Drosophila melanogaster: one gene and its partners. The protein of the gene in region 3 interacts with the protein of the main gene of each other region in a pairwise test. Each region holds a gene or a part of one and is shown on either strand. Other genes may lie near its edges.

Region 1 (3,755 bases), 5.3 Mb from region 3:
ATAATGAGTGCGTTACCGAGCCGAAAAGAGTGCGGCTCTTGCTGACACAAGATTTGCCAGCCGTGCAGCCATTCATTTCCATGTGCTGACAGCAAATTGTCCAGAAACTCAAAAAGGCAACAAGCCGTTGAAGCCATAAAACGGTCAGCAAACGGCAGAGCCCCCAAACGGCGCCCAACTATAAACATAAGCAATCATAAAGATGGGCAAAAAAAAAAAAAATATTAACTGAAAACCCAAAACAAAAAAAAGGCTTAAGCTGCAGATGCTGTCAGAGCCGATCAAATTGTGGGAAATGTGACAGATGATAGCGCGAATTGTCTTCGGCACAATCAAATGGAAATCAACCGATTCGGAATGAGTTTTTAAATTTGTATGCGGGCATTTTTGAAATTTACTTATGGAGTTGCCAGACTGTTCGCTTCTCCTAATGTTAACCAGCCTCTGCTGATAAGTTTACAGACATGTAAATAAAACGAATATATGTTTATTACAGTTTCATATCGATAACTCAAATTTTGAATTGAGCTTAACACGCCACCTGTGACAAAGTAAACTAACTATACACTGGCAAGCAGTGCAGTTGCTCACAAAATACCCGTTACTCGTAAAGTAAAAGGGTATACTAGATTCGTCGGAAAGTATGTAACAGGCAGAAGGAATCGTTTCCGACTATATAAAGTATATCTATTCTTGATCAGGTTCAATAGCCGATTCTATCTAGCCATGCCCACGCCGTAAAACCGCCCAAAACTGCCACGACCACATTTTTAATAAGTGTTTGGATGGTTTTTCACAATTTTATTAGTCGCTTAAATTTCTATCGATTTAAAAAAAAAATTTCATCCACGCCCAGTCTAACGCACTAAAACCGTCATTTTTTCCCCAATATTTTTCGATATCCCAGGAAAATGATTAAATTTCGCATTCACATTAGCTGAGAAAATGGTATAACTCGACTATAGCATTCTTTCTTGTTATTATTATTATTATATTTACAATCTATATTTTTTTTTTCTCACACTGCAATTCTTTGGCAATGCCTGCCGCAAACGTTCTAATGAACCAAAAAGATGGCATTTACAAAATGATGTGCGATTGATAGAGTAAGAAAGGTCGAGGATGGCAAAGGATGTTTTGGGTAAATGCGAGGGTGCACCAGGACTTGGTCCTGCCCACCCGGGGACTACATGAAGTCATCCGACTCGTTGCCGGCATCGTAGTTGGTGCGCATGTTCTCCGATTTCTGGAGGGACGCATAGCTGCGCAGCTCCGCCTCCAGCTCACGCTGCTTGGCAGCCTCCTTCTCCTGCTCGCGACGCTCGCGCTGGATCTTCTTCTGATCTTGCCGCTCAGCGGCATCCCGCGCCTCGCGCAATCCCCGAAAATCGGGATGCTCCTCCTCCGTTTTGGTCCTGTTCAGGCGATTGACAATCTCATTGATGCGCTTCTCCAGGCGAATGCGACGCACCGCCTTCTCGTTGTGGTAGGCCACCTGGCCGGGCTCCATGTCCGGGGTCTTCTTCAGATTCTCCCACATGGTGTACACCACCTCCAGGTTGTTCACCTTGTTGCCCTGAATGCTGTTCGCCTTGCACAACTGAGCGGCGTCCACCAGCACATCGGTGGGTATGTCGTCGATTGTCTGGCCCTTCCGTAGCCGCAAATACACGTGGGCCGAGGACAGGTCGTGGACATGGAACCACACGTCCTCCGGCCAGCCCCATCTGATGAGCTCCTCGTTTTCGTGCTTGTCGCGACCCATGTATAGCATCGCCGGCGGCTGGACCACATTGCTCTTGAAGTAGAACACCATTGCGCCAGATTCCAGAGGACGAACTGCAAATAGAATAAAATATGTTTTCTTGGGAGGCTTGATTCAGGTCCACCTCTGGCTCAGTGTGACCAGACGACGTCTTGTCTGAAATACAAATGAAATACAGTGGAATTTGCATAGTGCTGATTTCTGTATCACTTAGTATATATATAAATTCCGCTTTTAATTTGGCTTTAATAACTCAAATTTCTTTAGGACACCGTTTTCACAAATTCGTCTACTTATATTAAATCAGAGTTGTCAAACAGTTATTGTTTGCTTTTTGAAGAGAGCACTGTAGTTGATGTTCTTCTTCTTTCACAAAGCCACAACAAGCTGTTGGAACGCCTAACAAAAAGCGTTTTGAATTGAATTTTTTCAAAGAACCACAAAATGCCTTTAAATCTTACCCGGGAATCCGTACGAGAACTCTGTTGCACATGCCTGCTCCAATTGGAGAAGGAACCCTTGAAGACAGAGCTCCAATCAGATGAGATTCCAATCAGCCAGGAGCTGCAGCAGCTGCTCAACATAAATCTATCGCAGGATGTGGAGAACCAGGACGCCGACCAGCAGTGGCTGCCCAACGAACTGTGCCTGGAATGCCGCAGCGCCGTGCAGAATTTCGAAAAGTTCCGCAGGAAAGCCGACGAGTGCAGGAAGCAGCTGCTGGAAATGCTGAAGAAAGACCCACGGGAACCCACTTTCGAAGTAGTCTACGATGGCAGGGAGGAGGACCAAGAGTCTCTGCATGGTCTGGAACCACCAGAACCCGCTCCCGACCCAGATCCCATCGATGAGCCGGCTATAAAAAGTGATAAATCCCCCCGAAAGTCCTTCAGGGGATCAAGGAACACCCTGAAGTGTTCTGTGTGCCGGCGCAGCTTTGCCCACCAGATCACCCTAGCAGCGCACATCCGTAAGGTGCACGAGGGCAGCAAAAGGCCCTTCCAATGCGATCAGTGCGAGAAGGCCTACAGTTTCATGGGCGGTCTGTATACCCACATTCGAGAGGTGCATGCCCCCAAGGAGCGACGCCATCCCTGCGACCAGCCAGGCTGCGAGAGAATCTACACCAGCCGCATAGCCATGCAGAAGCACAAAAGGCTGAAGCACAGTCCGCGTGACCGCGATGCTTTGAAGAAATTCATCTGCGAGCAGTGCGGAGCCAGCTTTAACCAGTCGGCGAATCTTAAATACCACCTTAAGACAAAGCATCCCACGGAGGACGAGGTGGCCGCCAGGGAGGGCGGCGCCGGAGAGCGCCATTTCTGCGACATTTGTCAAAAGGAGTTCCATTCACGATACACCCTCAAGTACCACACTTTGCAGCAGCACGAGGTGCAGGAAGAGTTGCCCCACGAATGCCAGGTCTGTGGACGCCGGATGGCCAAGAAGTTCATGCTGCTGCAGCACATGCTGATGCACTCGAACGACAAGTTGCCCTGCGAGCACTGCGGCAGAAGATTTGCCAGGCGATTCGAGCTCGAAGCCCATGTGAGAGCAGTCCACTTAAAGCTGAAACCCTTTCCCTGTCACCACTGTCCGGAGAGCTTTGCTTCTAGGAAAACCCTGCGGCACCATGAGTACATACACACGGGTGAGAAGCCCTACATTTGCGACACCTGTGGACAGGCCTTCCGGCAGCAGACGTGTCTTAAAAACCACCGGAAGGTGCACGAGAAGTAGTCTTAGCTAGCCTTAGTGGAAAAGATTTTAAAATAGACTGATTAAGTGGAAACGTGGCGTCTTTTGAATGTTCTGGAACAGGTAACGCTCTTCGTAGGACATGAAGGTGCTATGCCAACAACCCTTTCCTCAACAAACAGCAGGCATTCACTTAAATAGCTTTAGTCACCAATAACTTGTCTAGTACACAGTGTTATGCAGATTCCGGTGGCTTTGCGGTGGGATCCACCTGTGTGCTGTGTTGCTCCTG
Region 2 (3,415 bases), on a different chromosome or scaffold from region 3:
CTCGTCGCCATGGTTGGAACTGGACAAAAAGTTGCGAGGCACGGAAGAATGGCTGGCGGCCAGGTGCCATCCTACGATCCTCTGGCCATGTGATGCGTCACTTCCTGATGCGAAGTAGAGATCCGAATATGTGCGGCAAGGTAACAGCTGATTACGAGGAACAGAAACGATTTGGCCATCCCGTGCTCAATATTTGCAAGCGAAATGGTAATATATTCGTAACCCTTCGTCCACTGCCCACTTTGGGTATGAAACAGAAACCCATAACGTTCCGGATCGTCAAGAGCGATATGGCGGTGGCACTGCGCCAGATCAAGCGTGCTCTCAAGGATCAGGGCTTCGAGAAGTGCAAGTGCCACCAGTCCCTGATGATGTGCACCTGTCGCGATGCCTTGGATAAATTTCACCTGAATAAGGCTCTCAAGAAAGAGTGCCAGAAGCGTTTTATAGAGCCATGTCCCGACCACTTGGTGCTTACCGACACAAGTGAGAGCGATTTGGAGTTCGATCTGGATGTGACTCCGCCGGCGGGAACTCGTAGACCGAAGCGCAAAGCCCTTAGGAACGTGGTGAATCATAGCACCCAGACTGCAATGAAGGAGCCACCAGTTATACCGCCTCCATATCCAGTAGCCCACAATCACTTCTATAGGGCCTACGATTGCGCAGCAGGAGATCGGTATATGGGCACAGCCTTCGGCGATAATATAGAGACCGTTTTCGAGGATGGAGTCTTTGGATACCGGGGTGGTGGCCAGCATGGAAAGCCCGTAATCTGGCGACACCCGAAGGTGTGGGGCAAGAAGGCCCAGGCACCACTCCCGATTGGAACCGCTAGGAACGCCATCGATCCTTACCGGTATACCAAAAATGTTTGGAAAGAACTGCCGCGAAAGATAATACAAAAAATGAGAGCAAAATCAAGGAAATAATTGTATTCTTTTATTAAAAGTCAAAATGTAATAAGCGTGTTTTATTTCTCTTAAGCTACAATGGCAGCCGTTTGGAATTATAGGAATTAGTATAATAGTATTATAAATAATTTTATTTTATATTAGGGAGCACATTTTTTGTGATTGTTAATGACGCAATCCAACTTGTTTTCAAAGTATTGCTAAAATTCTATTAATACGAGCATAAGAATTTGATTAAATATGCTAATTATATAGAAATTATAAACTGGTCTCAATCGACTGCAAACGGTAGTATAAAAGCGCCATGCCAACTGTTAGACTGTATTCATTAAAGTTACCAAAATGAAGATCTTCGCTCTGTGCGCCTTTTTGCTCCTCATCCTGGCTGCCGTCCAGGCCAATAGTTCTCCTGAGACCAGTGCGATCTCTGAAGGGAACCTTAAGAAAACTGCTGGATAATTTATAATTTCACGAAAGCTACTTGAATATTGGAATAAATATTCTATTTAGCAGCAGAATTTGTTGTATTTATTTGTATGCCCTTGCAGAGGGTATAATGATTTCAGACAGAAGTTTGCAACGCACTAAGGGGTACATTTGCAACCATTTAAAATATGTATAAATAATAAGTATTAACAGCAGAGTGTATATAGCCATATAGTCATTTAGTTATCCGTAAGTCCGTTTTTGCTCAAATTAGTCACATATTTAAATCTTTACATAAAATTGTTGTTTGAATTTAATAAATACGCATTACTGCAAATGTATATAAGACGGAAGACAGTATTGGATATATATTATTATAATATTATAATATTGTGAATTTTCGAATTCTAAAGAAATGAAGTTAAAGTTATGTTTATGATAGTTACTAATTATGAAAAGAAGATTTATAGTTTCTAAGAAGTAAATTCCATTTAACGTTGACTCTTCTGTCATACTATACTTCAATTTCCGACAAAGGTTATTAAATTAAGAATTAGCAGTTACTTGAAAGTTGTGTTCGAAGGACACAATGCTGGATATTTTACAAGAACCAGTACATCAGTATGGAAATCGGAGCCACCAGGCGGAGTGTATTCCGCTGGGAAGATATACAGCTTACGGATCGGAAATCGGACAGGATGATCCAGACAAGGGCTTGGGATTCTGCAGCGCCAGCATCCGGCGAGGATTCATCCGGAAGGTGTACCTCATCCTGTTGGCCCAACTGATCACTTCCCTGGTGGTTATAGTTTCACTTACTGCTGATAAACGGGTGCGTCTGATGGTGGCAGAAAGCACCTGGATATTTGTGGTGGCCATACTAATAGTGGTCTTCTCTCTGGTGGCTCTGGGCTGCAATGAGGATCTGCGTCGTCAGACCCCAGCTAACTTCATCTTCCTATCTGCCTTCACGATAGCCGAGTCCTTTCTGCTGGGCGTGGCAGCCTGTCGTTATGCCCCAATGGAGATTTTCATGGCCGTGCTAATCACGGCGTCAGTTTGCCTTGGACTCACCCTTTTTGCTCTGCAGACGCGTTACGACTTTACCGTCATGGGTGGCCTCCTGGTGAGCTGCCTGATAATACTGCTCTTCTTTGGAATTGTGACCATCTTCGTGGGCGGACATATGGTCACCACCATATATGCCTCATTGAGCGCTCTGCTCTTCTCCGTTTATTTAGTTTACGATACACAATTGATGATGGGAGGCAAGCATAGGTACTCCATTAGTCCCGAGGAGTACATATTCGCTGCCCTAAATATTTACATGGATGTAATGAACATATTCCTGGACATTTTGCAATTAATCGGAGGATCCGATTAGTTGCATGAAATCTCACAAACACACAGATTATTTTACATCTGCAATTCGACGTCGAGTATTAATAAATCAAATTCAGCAGCAAGCCTATTTTACATTTACTTAAAAGCCTAAATATAGGCTTTAAAAATTTGGATATTTTTTATACAAAGCACAGTTGCCATAAATAATATAATTAAACTTGTTTGCACAAACAAATGCAGAAATAACAAGAATGACCGGTATTCAATGATCGCACCTGTTCATAATCGCTAATTAACGGGCAACCTATATATTGAAATACATTTCGTATAATTTAGTGTTTTGTGACCCAAAAAATAACGAAAAATTATAAAAAAAAAGATAACTGTAAACGGTTACGATATTAGGTATATAAGATCTTCCAGCACCTCAAAGTGTATCAAATTTTGAAACGATGAAGTTCTTTGCTCTGTGTGCCTTCCTCCTCATTGCCCTGGCTACCGTCCAGGCAACTCCCGGTGATCTGCGCCATGTTCCTGTAGGACACGGAGGACACCCAGTCAATGCTGGCCACGGACCTGTGGGACACGCTGGTCCTGTTGGACACGGTCCAGTTGTAGGCCATGGTCCAGTTGTAGGCCATGGTCCAGTTGTGGGACATGGTGTTCATGGTCATTCTGGCTGAAAACTTATCTGAATCCTACAAGGAGCGCAATGCAGACCTTGATGGAAA
Region 3 (3,755 bases):
AGTCCTGGATTCAAGGATAACTGGGAAATAGTGATGTGTTGTCGCTAAACCTACGTTCATATTTGCACTTCTAGCCACTGCTAGTTAAAGTCTATGCCGTGCTTCCGGCTCGGGGAATGATATTATGGCGATGGGGACTCGGTTCTGGCGGGTCATCGGTCATCAGTCATCCAGCTCATCCCAGTTTTCGGCGCCGCGGCAGCTGCAGCGGCAAGGCAACAACGGAAGCAGACGAGGTCGGATTTGCTGCCATCACCGGAAGGGCAAGAGCCACTGGAGCTGCGAGTCCGCCGCCGACGTACTGCAGATGCTGCACCACCGAGAGCTGTGGCTGCTGCTGCTTGAGCAGCTTGGCGGCAGCGTGTGCCTCCGCCGCAGCCACCACGACGGGGTGCACCGGTTCGGTGCCGACTCCTCCGTTGACATGTGGACCGGTGCTTTCGCAATCGTCTTCGTCTGAGATCAGTGATATGCTGAGGTCGCTGGACAGTTTTAGGGAGATGGGCGTGGGCGGCGAGGGAGCCACCAAGGGCGCCACTTTGGCGCGCAATGCCGGTGACAGTTTCTGCAGCTGCTCCGGCATCAGGTCGTTCGTGTATTCCGGCACTCCACTAAAAGCCAGGCCTTCGCGTAGTTTGCTCAGCGAGAGTTCGTAAATACGGTTTGCGATGACCGTGTGAACGGTCGTCTCGTCCGGCAGCGTGGCTGTGATGCCTCCGCCCACGTCCACCTCCAGAAAACAGCCCGTTTCATTGCCGCCCTCTCCGCCTTCGGCGGTGGCGAATCCATTGCTGGCCGCCGTCGACGCTCGACACGGCTTGGGGTGACCTGACACCCGCGTCAGGCAGTTGGCAGTGGTGGAGGTGCGCGGCACCAACGAAACAGTTACCTCTTCGATGGTCTCCGACTGTGTGAGCGGTGCGAGCGGTGGCGGTGAGCGCATGGAGAGCTGGGAGCGCACTCTTGCCGTGCTGCTGGGTTCCTGCTCGTTGTGCTCGTCATCGCTGGTTATCAGGATGCTGTCGGTCACTGGGTATGAGTGGGTGGCAGCTCTGCGCGGCGCCTGCCTTCTGCCCGTTCTATGTGCTCGGTGCCCTGGGGCAGGAATCAGGAGGCGATTGTGGCCAGCTGCAGCGGGCTGTCCGGCCGATGGGGTCTCATCGTCATCCGACAGCAGGTCGATGGTCACGTCCGGCTGCAAAGTGGAGGCGACATGGCGCCGCTGCAGATGGGACAGCTGCCGGTCAGTCTTGGAGGCGAGAGCCACTTGGTCGCGCATCCGGGCCATGCAGATCCGCTGGTGCTCAAGCAGGCGTTCCATCCACCGACAGCGGCGCCGCTTGAGACGACGGTTGTCGAACAGCCGGGGCGATATGTAGAATGGTTCGGAATGTTTCTGGTTCATGTCTATAGGCGGCAGGAGAAGAGTTAGTCTGTGACGCCTGGTCGGCCACTGGTGGGCACCTATTTACCGAGTGTGTGGACTCGTCTTCTAGCGGTGGCGGTGCCTGCCACGGGTTGTCAAGGGTCATGGGCTCGGGCCCGTGGGGCTCCTCCTCCTCCTCCTCTTGCTGTTCCACTGGCGGCGAGTACAGTTAGATCCACTGCTGCAACTTGCATAATTGCGTGGCGGCGCAGGGGGATTTCCTTGAGAGGAGCGGAGGCGCGGGACTAGGCGCTGCGCCTCCCGCCGCTGGACATGCCGAGATGCGAGCGGGGCCGAGATGGTTGTTTTTTCGCGCGGCAGCTGCTTAATTTGTGCTTTTGTTGTACTTTAGAGTTCTGTTTATAAAACTGCATCGATAAGCGACCACACATCGATAACGCTTCTCTCGATAGTCCACGCTGCGTGCAACCGTGCACGTCGACTGGCCAAACAGTATCTGTCGGTAGTTATCGATAATGCATTCGCCACTTGGGCGCGCTATTTAAAATCAGCTAGAGAAAATAATGAAGCTTCGAAGCAAAGGACAGAAGGATACAAGTGCTTTGGATCACCAGCAAATCCAGCGACTTGGACACCAGGTAGCCCCGATAAAATTCCTATTAAGTAAAACACTCTTATCTCAAGACAAAGCACTCAAGCTAATTTTGGCACCACCCACAATTTTGAGAAGCACTCAATCGGCGCCGGCGCTCTGTTTTCAGAAGCTTTCACTCACATCTGGGAGAGCTTTCACTCCACATCCGTACGAGGACCGGAACGATAGGGAAGACACCGACTCCAGCTGGAGTCAGTTGGCAGATCGTCGCCTCCGGATGCGGATGTAGATATAGCAACCGCCCTTGGGCTTTTCATGCCTTCGATTAATTTTCGCAGACTTAGGATGCCTGGAAATTAACCACAAAAATCGTGAAGCCCCAAAACTTCCGTTCAAATTACTACAGGGTTGAAAGGAACATAAGGCCTTACAAGCGGAGTCTTGCGATCAGAAGTGGAGCACTAGTTTTGGGTGGGATATTTCAAAATGAAAATAACTGTTAGAAGGCATTTAGTACAAAAATAAGAAATTTTTTTGTTAATAAGTAGCCTTATGTATGCCCTTTCACCCATTTCTCTAGAGACAAGCGAAAAGCTAGCAATCTGATAAATAAAAGTAATCAACGTTCAGGCGTAGGGGCCTAGAGTAGTACCATTGGAAACATATTACTGATACTCGATACTCCACTCCACAACTTGATCTACAGTCTTGATCTCATATTTCCAAATATTCATATATCTGGGTATACATATAGCTTAAGATCAAAGTTATGTTGACTAGCTGTATGAACAAATCGGCGGATCGGATTGTACATTGTTGGGCACTCATTTACATCTGGCTTTAAGCTTTAAGGGTGTGCAACAGCCATGAGTCAAGTACGGTCCGCTGGGGAGCGGGGCGGGCAAGATCCGATTTCAGTAATTCACGCGAATGGCTCATTTCCCCAGCTCGCGGAGCAGCCAGGAGCCAAGGAGCAAAGGCGTTGGAGCTGGAGACGGAGATGTGTCTGCCCTTGGCGAAGGATACCAGTTTACTGGGGGATAAAGGGAGAAGGGCGGCGAGAGACAATAGACAATAGACAGGAACCACAACAAAAATTATAGACTCGGTCTTGACTTGGCTCGACTCGACTGTAGCCGGTGCTTTGCGTTTGGCTGGCAGCACAGGACCTCCGTAGTCCTGGCTGCGCCAGCTGCAGCTCCTTTGACTGTTTGTGTTGTGTTTCTGGATTGCACTTTGGCCGTTTAAGGCCGCGGAGTGCGGAGCAGGAGCAGGAGCAGGAGCAGCAGCACCCACATCTTGGCGCACCACACGCACCCTTAAGCGACTCTCCCTGGTGGCTTTGAATCCGACATCCTACATCCGACATCCAACATCCGACCCCACCCCGTGGCCCATCCGTGTCTGCCTGCAATCGTTTCCTGGCTGGGACGACCAGCCTGGCCCGCCTGTGCATTAAAATGAATTCCTTGCGAGGAGTTGGACGAGCAAGAGGCCAGGCGCAAGGGGCACTGAGTCGATTTGAATGAATGCACGTCCTCGCTGCTCATCCCGGTGCTCATCGTCCTGATGGCGGAAAATGGGGTTCCCGCTTCGCGTCTTCAAGTGTTTGCCTTCCTCAGGTGTTGAGTTGAGTTGCGTCGAGTCGAGTCAAGTTGGCATTGTCTTTTTGTTTTCGCCATCGTCTGCCGCAGTTGTTTTGCTTTAGACCTCCTCTCCGCGCCACTCCTCTCCGCTTGCTCCAGGATGCTCAGGCTCATCCTCATCCTTATC

What was found.
Region 1: the proteins of a6 (region 3) and CG3032 interact in a two-hybrid assay, tested with the Drosophila melanogaster proteins (one large-scale study listed by BioGRID).
Region 2: the proteins of a6 (region 3) and Recs1 interact in a two-hybrid assay, tested with the Drosophila melanogaster proteins (one large-scale study listed by BioGRID).

What each region holds. Positions count from the first base shown.
Region 1 is NC_004354.4:7,012,038-7,015,792, reverse strand, and holds CG3032 (uncharacterized protein), read left to right. Parts: upstream 1-1,911; 5' UTR 1,912-2,209; coding exon 2,210-3,505; 3' UTR 3,506-3,554; downstream 3,555-3,755. Other genes in the region: CG4593 (uncharacterized protein), read right to left, coding at 1,187-1,816; sloth2 (sloth 2), read right to left, coding at 3,699-3,755.
Region 2 is NT_033777.3:14,152,274-14,155,688, reverse strand, and holds Recs1 (Recs1), read left to right. Parts: upstream 1-1,859; 5' UTR 1,860-1,929; coding exon 1,930-2,724; 3' UTR 2,725-2,804; downstream 2,805-3,415. Other genes in the region: CG31533 (uncharacterized protein), read left to right, coding at 1-932; CG44215 (uncharacterized protein), read left to right, coding at 1,257-1,373; CG42500 (uncharacterized protein), read left to right, coding at 3,137-3,367.
Region 3 is NC_004354.4:1,694,068-1,697,822, forward strand, and holds the start of a6 (a6), read right to left. Parts: upstream 1,823-3,755; 5' UTR 1,473-1,822; exon of another isoform or gene 1,465-1,472; intron 1,408-1,464; 5' UTR 1,406-1,407; coding exon 176-1,405; 3' UTR 1-175.